Ovis aries: one gene and its partners. The protein of the gene in region 1 interacts with the protein of each later gene in a pairwise test. Links are inferred from orthologs where the notes say so. Each region holds a gene or a part of one and is shown in the gene's direction. Other genes may lie near its edges.

The links. The genes of interacting proteins can lie anywhere in the genome.
Region 2: the proteins of PIN1 (region 1) and ZNF446 interact in binary tests that used the Homo sapiens proteins (3 or more experiments, as listed by UniProt). The two-hybrid records come from large-scale screens. The link is inferred for Ovis aries from reciprocal best matches to the Homo sapiens genes PIN1 and ZNF446.
Region 3: the proteins of PIN1 (region 1) and GLI1 interact in binary tests that used the Homo sapiens proteins (3 or more experiments, as listed by UniProt). The link is inferred for Ovis aries from reciprocal best matches to the Homo sapiens genes PIN1 and GLI1.

What each region holds. Positions count from the first base shown.
Region 1 is NC_056058.1:12,295,573-12,299,093, forward strand, and holds the end of PIN1 (peptidyl-prolyl cis-trans isomerase NIMA-interacting 1), read left to right. Parts: intron 1-868; coding exon 869-979; intron 980-1,795; coding exon 1,796-1,905; 3' UTR 1,906-2,416; downstream 2,417-3,521. UniProt on the Homo sapiens protein: Peptidyl-prolyl cis/trans isomerase (PPIase) that binds to and isomerizes specific phosphorylated Ser/Thr-Pro (pSer/Thr-Pro) motifs.
Region 2 is NC_056067.1:66,376,745-66,381,599, forward strand, and holds the end of ZNF446 (zinc finger protein 446), read left to right. Parts: intron 1-1,013; coding exon 1,014-1,095; intron 1,096-1,216; coding exon 1,217-1,312; intron 1,313-1,466; coding exon 1,467-1,849; 3' UTR 1,850-4,050; downstream 4,051-4,855. UniProt on the Homo sapiens protein: May be involved in transcriptional regulation.
Region 3 is NC_056056.1:162,170,906-162,175,321, reverse strand, and holds part of GLI1 (zinc finger protein GLI1), read left to right. Parts: coding exon 1-53; intron 54-787; coding exon 788-952; intron 953-1,444; coding exon 1,445-1,675; intron 1,676-2,202; coding exon 2,203-2,470; intron 2,471-2,851; coding exon 2,852-4,416. UniProt on the Homo sapiens protein: Acts as a transcriptional activator. Binds to the DNA consensus sequence 5'-GACCACCCA-3'. Regulates the transcription of specific genes during normal development.

The sequences.
Region 1 (3,521 bases):
CCTTCCCTCCCATCAGCCCGGTCTCCCTGTCCCCCCAGGGAGAATCGGTATCTAGTTTGGGCTGCACAGAGGGTGAATCTGGTGTGCTGCCAACTCACCCCATCAGGGCAGCTGGGAGAAGAGCCGTGTCCGCTGCCCCGGGGGCGCAGTCTGCCGCCTGTCCCTTGCTGAGTCCCAGTCAGGCCGCCTCCAGGGTTCTTCATGACACCCCAGGAAGTGGCCCTGGCCTTCCTCACACTTTGGACAGACAGGACAACCGAGGCCCTCGCGCTGAGGGCTCAGCCATCTCCTGTGGCAGAGCTGGGCTAGTGCTATGGCCTCCTGCCTCTAGAAAATTTTCCTTTTACTGCCTGAGGCGTCCCAGTGTCCCTTTTTATTTTTATTTTCTTGGCTGTGCTGCTGTGGGATCTTAATTCCCAACCAGGGGTCAAACCTGTGCCCCGTACGTTGGAAGCCCCGAGTCTTAACTGCTGGACCGCAGGGAAGTCCCCCAGTGCTCCTTTGTAACGTCCGTCCTGCCTTCTGTCCTCCCCAGCAGAGCCTGGAGGTAGACTTCCTCTCAGTGTGTGGGGGTAGGTAGAGGCCATGCCATGTTCATTATGTGTTCCTGTGTGTGTAGGGAGGGGGGTTACAGAGAAGGGGTTGTAGGACTGGGTAGGAGACCAGCTGCTCTTGAGGTCACCACAGGGTCATGGGGTGCATGCCTGTCATGGGTGTGTATGGCTCCGGCTGTGGTTGTGCATGCACGCTCATGCACACACGATTAGCAGGGGTTGCGGGCTCCTTTCTGAGTGAAGTGCTGCCCTGCCCGGAACCCTCCGCCCACCCCGCCCTGACGAGGAGGCCTCCCTTTGTGTCCCCCTTGCAGGCTACATCCAGAAGATTAAGTCTGGAGAGGAGGACTTTGAATCTCTGGCCTCACAGTTCAGCGACTGCAGCTCCGCCAAGGCCAGGGGAGACCTGGGTGCCTTCAGCAGAGGTGCGCAAAGAATGGGCACCCCTGAACCCCAGCAAGACCCTCTGACCCACTGGCACCTGCACCCCACCTAGAGGGATGGCCCGTGTCACACTGTCCCCTGGGGTCCACCAGGTGGCAGCAGAGTCCCTTCCTCAGGCTGCAGAGTCTTCTCCCCGGTGGTGGCATTTCTCTCGGGGTGGGGCATCCATCTGTGTGTGTCTCTGCTCAGTTGTCCCCATCACAGACCCACCAAGGTGGGTGCCTGCTGCCATTTCCCTCTCTTCCTGTTGAGGTGCAAAGCTGGGGCCCCTAAGAGTCCCAGAGCACATCCCCCAGAATCCTCTGCCCACCCTCCTGGGTGGAGAAACCAGGAGTGAGGGGAGGAGGGGGTCAGATCAGCAACCCTGCCAAGTTCAGGCCTCTCCACCTGGGACTGTGGGAAGGGAGGAGCAGAGGGAACCAGGCCGCCGCCGCCTCCCCCCTTCGTCCTGGGGTCTCTAGAGCATCAAGGAAGGGCCCAAAATAGGCTGAGGGGTGTTTGGGAGCCAGCAAGGGGCTGTGGGCCAGGGAGACCAGCTCCTCGGTAAAGCTCCTCTCTCAGTGCACAGAGGAGACAGCCACTGTGCCTCGTTCTTCATGCTGTCCTCAGCTTCCTGGGGCCTCCCTAATAGCCTTGCCACCCCCAGCTGCGCCCAGCTCAGGCGCCGTGGCAGGGCCGGAAAGTGCATGACGGATGAGTCAGAATGAGGGCCCTGGGGGCGCAGTGGGAGCCCCGTCTGCCCAGTCCCACCTGCAGGTCTGGACCCCACCCGCCACCTCTCCTGCTTCCTCCCCCAGGTCAGATGCAGAAGCCATTTGAAGACGCCTCCTTCGCGCTGCGGACAGGGGAGATGAGCGGGCCCGTGTTCACAGATTCGGGCATCCACATCATCCTTCGCACGGAGTGAGGGGTGTGGATGGCCCAGGCCTGGCCCCCTGGGGGAGACAGGTGGGACGGGGTGGCTGGGCCCGCAGACTCCGCTCCCTGCTGCCGGCCAACCAGTGGGGACCCCTCCCTTCTGTCACACAGTATTTATTGATCCCAGAATGGCTGGGAGGGGCCCCTTCACCACCGGGTGCTCCCTGTCCGCTCCTATTGGGGCTGTCCCTGCTAGACTCCCCTCCCCTTTAGGAATCGACTTCAGAAGGGCACAGGGTGGAGAGGCTCCCTGGGCTCCCAGGGCCAGGGTTGGGGGTGACCTGTCCCAAAGAGAAGGCCTAATTAGCTGAGCTGCCCCTGTGCCACCCCAGGTCCAGGATGGGGTCAGGTGGGCCTTGAGTTGTTGCTGGTTGGGCCGTGTTCCTCTGTTCAGTTGTAAAAAGCAGACGCTCTGCGTGGGGCCCAGGCTGCTGGCTGCTATGGGGCCTCTAAGCAGCCATGCAGCGCCTTCCCCACCCTTGATTAAACCTGGAACCACTGCTCTGCTGTCTGGCATTTCATTTCCCACCCCCAGGGCAGCGATCATCTCCCACCACCCCTGGTGTCAGGTGTCCAGGCCATGTTCCCTCCCTGGGAAGCTGCTCCTTTCCCTGGGCCTGGGGTGCTTCATAGCAGCAGCAGACTCTCAGGGAAGTGGAACAACCGCGGTCCTCAAACTTGGGTGTTCAGGAATGTTCCAGAATGCAAGGGCCCTGACCGCACAGCTCTGGGTTCAGCAGGTCAGGTGGAACAGGAGAATCCTCAGGGAACCCAAGTGAAGTCCCCGTTCACCCTTGGTGCTCTCGGTGCCGTGCCCCCCCAAACACACCCCACTTCAGTTGGAACAAAATACTCCCAACACTCCGATGCCCACTCCCCTGTCACCGTAAGCATTCTGCCAGGACCCGGGCACCTCTGCAGATGCTAATTCCATGGCAACGGGGGCCAGTGAGAGGGCACTGCCAGATGTCTCTGAGAGCAGGGGTCCTGCCCAGCCTTCCGGTGGCAGGTGGGGGGAGTTCTGTGCTGGAACATGGTAAGGGGAGGGTCACTGAGCAGAATCCCTGCAGTGGGTGTGGGAGGGGGCAGGACTCTTCAGATGGAGGCTGGGGGCGCGGCCCATCTGTTCTGCATGACTCCTCACAGCTGCCCCTGGATCTGGGCCTGGGCAGGAGGCTCAGCGGTCAGTCAAAGGGTTCATGGGTGTGTTGGAGAAGGGGTTATGTCCGTTCTGCACCCCACGCACACACTTAATGGGGACCAGCCTGGATCTTGGAGTGGTGGGCTAGCAGGGCTTGGGAATCCAATAAAATAAGCCCTGCCTGGCCTGACCCCAAGGAAGAATCCCCTTACCCCCAGAGCTGAGTCTCTTAACACAGGCCTGAGTTGCTCATAAATAGTCACCTGGGCCGACTCCCATCTGGCCAGTTTCTGGAGCAGTTGCTCTCTGCCTGCCAGCACGCTTGTCATTAAGGTTTAATGAGCCTCCTCTCAGCTCTGGCTGCTTGGCTGCCCCTCCAGACAGACCCTTCTGCCACCATCTGTGGGGGCCACGAAGCAGGCAGAGGCCCCACTGCCGTTCTCTGGGGCTTGGGGAGCCTTCGG
Region 2 (4,855 bases), on another chromosome or scaffold:
CTCAGGGGCTGCTCTCTGTCCTGCCGGCTGTCCAGGCTCCTTGGCGAGTGCTTCTTGTCCTCTCTGCTGCCGCGAAGTGGAGTTGGTATCAGGGTACCCCTGGCAGGGCGTGGGGGACAGAACAGTGCTTGGAAAGAATTCTGGTCTCAGGGAACTGGGAACCTGGTTTAGAGTGATGGGAACTGGCAGAGGTGGGCTTCGCACTTAGACGTGAGACGGAGGTTGGCAGGAGTCCTGTGCCGGCACCCGGGGTGAACCCTCATGGGCATGTGCAGAGCGGACAGGGTCCCCAGTGTGGCAGGAAAGCCTGAGTGACACCCAGCAGTCTGGCCTCCCTGCACACCCGAGGTCAGAATAGAGACACTCTTACCAGGAAATGGCCCGGGAACTTCATCCAAGGCCAGTCAGCCCTCAGCTGCAGCCAGCTGGGCGTGGAAGCCCCTGCCACTCAGGGCTTGGGTCCTGAGTGCAGGCAGCAGGGTCTTGTCCTTTCCCAGTGACACTGTTCCTAACCCTTTCCGCACTGAGAAGCTCGAGAGGACCCAGCCGCAGCCTGAAGGCCCAGTTGCATCAACCACAGCCGGCCGGGCTGTGTCTGGAGGTGCGAGGCCGTGCCTGCCCTCTGGCTCTCCAGCCTCCCTGCAAGTTTGCTGAGGCCCTGGGCACTTTCCCTGAGGATCTCTGTTACCCTTGAAACCAGAGGCAGGGGAGAGGTGGTTGGGGTCCCCACCATTCCCTGGCCTTTTGCTCCATGCAGCACACGCAGTCCCAGGGCCATCCAGGGGTCCTCAGCTTCCTTCTGTGCGGCCAGAACCTGGGGTGGGGCAGCTGAGGGTGACTGGTGAGCCAAGAGGCAGCTCCCTTCCTGGGCCTGCATCTGCGGCACTCAGTGGTGAAGCAGGTGAGGCTTAGGTAACCTGCCACCCCTCAGGGGACCAGCAAGGCTCTGGCCAGGATCGGCCTGGTGGGTGCGGGGTCGACAGTTCTGTGGGTGATGGGTTGTGTCCCTGCAGGAGTGGGGGCTCCTGGAGCCGTCCCAGAAGGAGCTGAACTGGGATGCGATGCTGGAGAAGTACGGCACGGTGGTGTCCCTGGGTGAGGCCCCCTCTCCTTCTCTGGGCCCTTGGGCGCACCTTGCCTCCCAGCGCTTCCCAAGGGCCCCCCGTCCCCTTATTCGTGCGAACCCCTCACCTGATGGGCCCCCTACCTCAAGCAGGGTTGACGCACCCCCTGCCTGAGTCGCGCACCGAGTTGCAGCCGGAGGGGCTGAGCTCCGGATCCGGATCCGAGGGTCGGAGAAGCCTCCGCCCAGGTGAGTGACCTCTCAAGGTCCCTTGGTGGGGGTAGGCGTGCAGGTGCGGGTAGGGCAGGGGCGGGGGTGGAGGATGGGGGCGGGCGGGGCGCCCAGGCGGCCCCGGCTGGACAGTGCTGGGTCCCCAGGTGACCTGGCCTCCTCTGCTCCCCAGGAGATGAGAGCGAGGGCCGGCCCGGCGGCCCCGAGGCCCCGCCGCCGCCGCCGCCGCCGCCGAGGAGCAAGCCCTACACGTGCACTCAGTGTGGCGGGGCCTTCGACTGGAAGTCGGTGTTCGTCATCCACCGCCGCGCGCATGCCGGCGGCCCGTGCGCAGAGAAGCCGCCGGCCGGCCCGCCCCCGCGCGCGCTCCCGGGCCCACGCGGCTACGCCTGTGAGGAGTGCGGCCACAGCTTCAGCTGGAAGTCGCAGCTGGTTATCCATCGCAAGGGCCACGCCAGCCAGCGGCGCCACCTCTGCGCCGACTGCGGCCACAGCTTCGACTGGAAGTCCCAGCTGGTCATCCACCGCAAGAGCCACCGGCCCGAGGCCCCTTGAGTGCAGGAAGGGTGGCCTCCCCATCCCTGCGCCGGTACGGCCTGGAGACCTGGAGGCCGCCCAGGACCCTGGAGCAGGTCAGAGTCCCAGGGGATCCCCCGGCCCCCCTCAGTCTCCCCCCGGAGCCAATGCTCCCCGTCTCCTGCCTCCCCCACCGCAGCTTTCTGAGAGGCTTGGGCTCCAGGCCTCCGCCAGCCCAGTGCCGCCAGGGGACTTGCAAGCTCCCACCGGTGACCTAGTGCAGGCTCCCCCGACCTCTGGGACCACTTGGCTTGGTGACCAGGCCTCTCCCACTCCTCCTGCAGAAGCTGGGCCCGAGGTCTGAGTGTGGACGGGCCAGGAAGCCCAGGAGAGCATGGCCCGCTTCTGTCTGCAGCCAGCTGCAAAGCTGACGTTTAGCCACTGTGCGTTTTAGAGTTTTAACAGATTCTAGTTTTAAACTGGAGACATTTCTGCAGAAGAATCCTGGTGTCTAGTCTCTGCTGGTTGGATCAGAGCACCTGCCCTCCCGCCCAGCCCCTAGAGCTGCCGAGCACCTGACCCCCGAGCGGGACCAGCGTCCAGCCCACCTGCTCCTTGGCCGCACACCCCACTGCTGGCTTTGTTGTCCCTGCCTGAGTGGACGTGAAGGGAACGTCTCTCCAAGGATTTCTGGACAAGGATGGGCTCTGAGAACAGATGTCACTTAGGCCTGTAGGCCGGCGGCTCAGGGCTGTGTCCCCACAGCCTGCACAGTGGGTCACCCCCGGCGGCCTGTTTGGGTCGTGGGCAGTCGTTCAGGTCTTGGCCAGCGTCCTGTGGTGCTTTGCTACTGCTGCGATGGCTGGAGACAACACGTGTACCCTCTTGGGACTCTGGATTGCGTCTCCCTGGGCCCAGTCACGGTGTCAGCAGGACTGGCTCCTCCCGAAGTCTCTAAGGGGGAACCCACTGCAAGAGCTTTTCTGGCTTGTGGAGGCCACTGCGCCCCTGGGTTTGTGACCCTTCGCTCCATCGGCAATGCTCGCCGTGGATGGTGCGGTCCCACACTGCCTACTTGTCAGGCCCTCGGGGCTGCGTCCAGAGTCCCCAGTAACCGTGGTGATCCTCGTCTCAGGACCACACAGCTTCCCCATCCACCCACCCTGCTGCTCTCATCTGCACAAGCCCTTTGCGTGTGAGGTGACATTCACAGCTCCAGGTGTTAGGACGTGGACGTCTTGGGGGCTGTTAACTCGGTGCACTTCGGGGCTCCATTCTGCTCTAAAACAAGCATTTTGTGGGAGGTGATTTCAGGGAAACAGATGCGCCCAAGGATTGAGCCCCCTGCAGACTCGGGCACATGCAGGGGTTGCAGGAGGGTGTTGAGTGCTGCAGTAACCATCGTTACTGGGCAAGGTGGAGGACACCTGGATGGGGGTGGGGGGCTTACTGCAGCCTGAAACCGGGAGGGAGAAGCCTTCACCCCAGGGACCCACCTCCTCCATGCCCAGCCTTCTGGGGCCTTTGAGCTGTTGCCCATACTCAGGCCTGGGGAAGCACGGCCAGGCTGAAGGTGGAACTGAGCACCGGGGATCTTGTTACCGCATCCAGGCTTGTATCGTTCACTGCATGACAGGCTGATGAACTGAGAGCCTGAGTGGTTAGGGCAAGGAGTTGCGCCTGTATTCAAAAAGCCAGCAAACTGAGACGATAGGAGACTTGTGCCCCAAAGAACCGTCTCGTCTGTGTTAAAATCCAGGCTGCTCTTACACTGAAAGGGGATAGAGTCAGGTGAGACATTTCCTGGTTCAGAGGGGATGTGTTCATTTCCTCCTCCCTGTAGACATTCACAGGTAGGTGTGGTCAGGAGGTCTCCTGTGAGCTAAATGAAGGAATTCTAGCTTAAATGCTCACTACCTGTGAGTCAGGGCTCCCAGAGTTGGGCTATTATGTATAATTTAAGCTTAGAAGCAGCATTCCTCTAGTGACTGACTCAGGTGACAGAATTCAAAGGTTCTTCCTCATTATAACACAGTCTGGCTGGCAGCCAGAGGTGAGGTCTGTGCTGGGGTCACAGAGGAAGGTGCCAGGGCAGGGCCCAGTCACACACAGATGGTGAGGGGCGGGTGGGGGTGGATGGGCAGCATTCTTGGGAGAGTTTCCTTATTTGAAAGTAGTTTCTGCTCACTTAGAAAAGTCTGAAATATACCAGAGGACAAAGAAGGTCACGAAAACGGTCACTGATGCCGCTGTTTTTCTCGTGTTCACACAGGGTGGGGTTTTACAGCGGGAGAGGCCCCTGCGCGTTGTTCTGAGCCGCGCCCTTCCCGCCCACCTCCCTGCGCTGCTAAAAATGGGACGTGTCATGATGCCTAGGTGGAGATTCCACTTCCCGGGTTTCTGCCAGGCCCTGACGGTTCCTTGTCCGCCTCCCTCGCGGCTCCCGGTGCCATGAGGACACACCTGAGCAGACCCTCTGGGAGCAACCTGCGTGTTTCCTCAAACAGACTCCCGCAGAGTGGGAGTGGCGAGTTTTCTCGAGCGTCAGATTTCTGTTCATGTTATTTTCTTTTTCTTCTTGTTTTAAGAAACAAAACAGATTACAGTTCTGAGGTCAGGAGGCAGGCATAGGTCCTGCAGGCCTGCTTTCCTTCTCTGGTCTCTGGGAGAACCATCGCTACACTTTTCCACCCTAGAGGCGGCCTGTGTGTCGCGCTCACCGCCCTTCCCCAAACCTAGGCTGGCAGTGGCCACTCAGTGCTCGAGGGGGCTCGCCCGACGCTCTCCTCTGCTCTCCTTTTTCACCTCTAAGGAACCTCGCTATCCTTAGAGGGTGGGCCCACCTGCATCATCTCGAACAGTCCCCCTATCTCAGGGTCAGTTGGTGGGGTAAGGGGTTTTTAAATTCTCCACGGACTCATCAGTGTCTTCCGGACACGTGGGCCCCACCCGACTTCCCTCCGGAAGGAAAGGCTCCCAGCGGCAGAGGCCCCAGAACGTCGTGGACTCACTTTTCCAACCCTCCTTTTCCATCTGCGGGCAGTG
Region 3 (4,416 bases), on another chromosome or scaffold:
TGCTGGTGGTGCACATGCGCAGACACACGGGCGAGAAGCCACATAAGTGCACGGTGAGGCACCCCCTCCCCAAGCTCAGGGTCCCTTCCTAAATCAAGGCTCCCCACAAAGGCAGGGGCCAATCTGACTTTTGCCATCACAGGTCCCTTCCTCCACAAACAAACATTTAAAAATTGTGTTATATAGACCGCATTGGTATAAAGATGAACGTATTGACGTTACATGTTAGAATACTTTCTAATTTCTTTTCCCCCTTGTTTTTTTAAAAGAAATTAAAACACTTTTGTGGGCACCAGACAGTACAGTGGACCTAGGCACTGTGCTCACAACTTGGGTTAATGGAGAAGCCCTGGACTGAGGACACACACCAGGATGACCCCATCTTAACACAGTCTGGGCTCCCCAGGCAGGGAGATGTGCTCTGACTTGATCCAGAGCGCTCACTGCCTCATCTCCACATCCCTGCAGGCAGAGTGCCTCCAGCTACTTCTGTCCCCTCCGCTTTTGCCTACCATTGTCCCTGAATTTTGGGAATTCTATAGTCCCAGCACTCTCCCATCTCTCCCGTCCTCCCCTGCACTGCATAGCATGTGGGATCTCAGTTCCCCAACCAGGGATTGTACTCAAGTCCCCTGCATCAGAAGCACAGAGTCTTAGTGTCCGGACGACTAGGGAAGTCCCACGCTTGAATTATATTCTCTGATGTATGTCCCTTTTGAGATTCAGGGTTCCGCTAATCTCCATGTCCTTCTGTCTGAGAGCCATCCTTTGACCCCATATCCCCTAGTTTGAGGGGTGCCGGAAGTCATACTCACGCCTGGAAAATCTGAAGACACACCTGCGGTCACACACTGGTGAGAAGCCATACATGTGTGAGCACGAGGGCTGCAGTAAAGCCTTCAGCAATGCCAGTGACCGAGCCAAGCATCAGAATCGGACCCACTCCAATGAGGTGAATGCCCCACTCAGGAGACCCTCCTCCCCACTTACAGACGCCACCTACTTGGGAGCTTCCCCCATAAGAAACCCCTTAGCTCAGCACCCACTTCACAGAGGTGAGTTCCCCTCCACCTGCATAATTCACCCAGAGATTGTCTTTCTGAAACCAAGAATTTCCACTTACTATCCCTCCCCCACCTCTAACCAGTCAAAGGGCTAAGCTAAAATAGACCCATTCTAACTAGGGTACCTTCAACCCCCTGAATTTATGAGGCCTTGCAGCCCTGGGTTCATTCCCTCCCCTTTCCCAGGCCTATCCGTTTTCCTAATCTTCCCCTTGATCCGTTCATCCTTTACTCCAAGGGCCCTACTCTCCTTCCTTCCTTGGGTGCTATGCGTTCCTCCGAGTCCCCTTGTCTTCACTTAACGCCACCACTTTTTCCCATTTCCTGGCATTGTCCCGGTTTGATTCTTTTGCCTGCTGTCTTCACTCTCCACTCAACAGAAGCCCTACGTGTGTAAGCTCCCTGGCTGCACCAAACGCTACACAGATCCCAGCTCGCTCAGGAAACATGTCAAGACAGTACACGGTCCTGATGCCCACGTGACCAAGCGGCACCGAGGAGACGGCCCCCTGCCCCGGGCACCGGCTCTTTCCTCAGTGGAGCCCAAGAGGGAGCGGGATGGAGGCCCCATTAGGGAGGAGAGCAGACTGACTGTGCCGGAGGGTGCCATGGTGAGGCAATGCCCTGCCTCCATACCTCTGCCTGCCCTGCCGACATCTTTCTAGCCCCTTCCAACTGGTCCATCTCCTTCTATGCTCATCTCTCTTCTGTGGCTGGTCCCCAGTCCCTTATCTGAGTGTTGCTCCTTAGGCTACCTCAAATCTAGGGATTTTACTGTAATTCATTAGTGCCTGGGTCCAACCAGCTCATATAGAAATTAGTGTATAATTTGAGGCCTTCTACCAGTATAATTTCAGGTACGCCTCAAAACAACTTCATGAGAAGGGAACTTACTCTTGTCATTTTCAGATGAAGAAACTCAGAGAAATTGTCCAAGGTTACAGAGGACAAATTGGAGCTGAGGTAGTCTAGGTTCTTTTCTAGGAACTTTCCCCCAGTTCACCCGTGTCTTTCACTGGATCAGCCCTCTCTACACCTGTAAGCAGTCACTGGGACACGGGCTCTAGTCACTCACCAAGTTCAAGGAGCTGTGGGGAAGGAGGATGGGCGCCGCCTTCAGCCCTGCTTTTCCCCACAGAAGCCACAGCCGAGCCCTGGGGCCCAGTCGTCCTGCAGCAGTGACCACTCCCCAGCAGGCAGTGCAGCCAATACAGACAGTGGTGTGGAAATGACTGGAAACGCAGGGGGCAGCACGGAGGACCTGTCCAGCTTGGACGAGGGGCCTTGCCTTGCGGGAACTGGGCTGTCTACTCTTCGCCGCCTTGAGAACCTCAGGCTGGACCAGCTACATCAGTTCCGGCCGATGGGGCCCCGGGGCCTCAAACTGCCCAGCTTGAGCCATGCCGGTGAGTGATGGGTGTGGGGCATGGTTGCAGGGCTGAGATCTGGCCCTTCTCTGAGACTGGGAGGGAGACTTCACCTTTCAGGGCTGCTGCACAATTAGAAAAAGGTCTCCTTTCCTCGAGATACTTTCCTTCCTTCTATCAGAAAATTGTTGTCTTTTGAATGCTGTCCCCTTTGATTGTGCAGTGTACAATCTGTAGGACTGTTCACAGCGACCCTGAATGTCTGATGACCCAGAAGCAAAAAGGGAGTGGGAGAAGGAGGGGAGAGAACTGAGTGGCTAGAGTTAAGGAGCCTTCCCTGGAATTCTGGACAAGGCTTCCCCTTGGGAGAGGCAGGGTGAAATTCAGAGGGCTCCCTGGCCAGCCTGTCTTTTCTTACAGGCACTCCTGGCTCTCGCCGTCTGGGCCCCCCGGTCTCTCTTGACCACCGCAGCAGCAGCTCCAGCAGTGTCAGCTCAGCCTATACTGTCAGCCGCCGCTCCTCCCTTGCCTCCCCTTTCCCCCCTGGTTCCCCACCAGAGAATGGGGCATCCTCCCTGCCTGGCCTCACGCCTGCCCAGCACTACCTGCTCCGGGCCAGATATGCTTCAGCCAGGGGAGGTGGTACCCCTCCCACTGCAGCACCCAGCCTGGATCGGACGGGGGCTCTTCCTGCACCTCCCTGGAGAAGCCGAGCTGAGTATCCAGGATACAACCCCAATGTAGGGGTCACCCGGAGGGCCAGTGACCCAGCCCGGTCGGTTGACCGCCCTGCCCCAGCCAGAGTCCAGCGGTTCAAGAGTTTGGGCTGTGTCCACAGCCCCCCTACAGTGGTAGGAGGAGGACAGAACTTCGATCCCCAACTCCCAACCTCTGTCTACTCACCACAGCCCCCCAGCATCACTGAGAATGTCTCCATGGATACCAGAGGGCTACGGGAGGAGCCAGAGGTTGGGACCTCCATGATGGGCAGTGGTCTGAACCCCTATATGGACTTCCCACCTGCCGATACTCTGGGATATGGAGGGCCTGAGGCGGCAGCAGCTGAGCCTTATGGAGCTAGAGGGCCCGGTTCCCTGCCTCTTGGGCCTGGCCCACCCACCAACTATGGCCCCAGCCCCTGTCCCCCGCAGGTTCCCTATTCTGAACCAACCCCAGAAACATGGAGTGAGTTCCCGTCCCACTCTGGGCTCTACTCAGGCCCCAAGGCTCCAGCTGGAGCCTACAGCCAGTGTCCTCGTCTTGAACATTATGGACAAGTGCAAGTGAAGCCAGAACAGGGGTGCCCCGTGGGTTCTGACACCACAGGACTGGCACCCTGCCTCAATGCCCACCCCAATGAGGGGCCTCCACGCTCACAGCCTCTGTTCTCCCACTACCCACAGCCTCCCCCTCCCCAGTATCCCCAGTCAGGTTCCTATACCCAGCCACCTCCTGATTATCTGCCTTCAGAAGCCAGGCCGGGCCTGGATTTCGAGTCCCCCACTCATTCTACAGGACACCTCAAGGCGCAGCTTGTGTGTAATTATGTTCAGTCTCAACAGGAGCTGCTGTGGGAGGGTGGGGGCAGGGGAGACCCCCCAGTCCAAGAACCTCTCTATCAGAGTCCCAAGTTTCTGGGGGGTTCCCAGGTCAGCTCAAGCCCTGCCAAGGCCCCAGTGGCCACATATGGACCTGGCTTTGCACCTAATATGCCCAATCACAAGCCGGGCGCCTATCCTACCCCTTCATGCCATGAAAATTTTGCAGTAGGGGCCAACAAAGCTTCCCACAGGGCAGCAGCACCACCCCGACTTCTACCCCCACTACCAGCTTGCTATGGGCCCCTCAAGGCAGGGGGCACCAATCCCAGCTGTGGCCATCCTGAGGTGGGCAGGCTGGGAGGGGGCCCTGCCTTGTACCCTCCTCCTGAAGGGCAGGTATGTAACCCTCTGGATTCTCTTGATCTTGACAACACACAGCTGGAC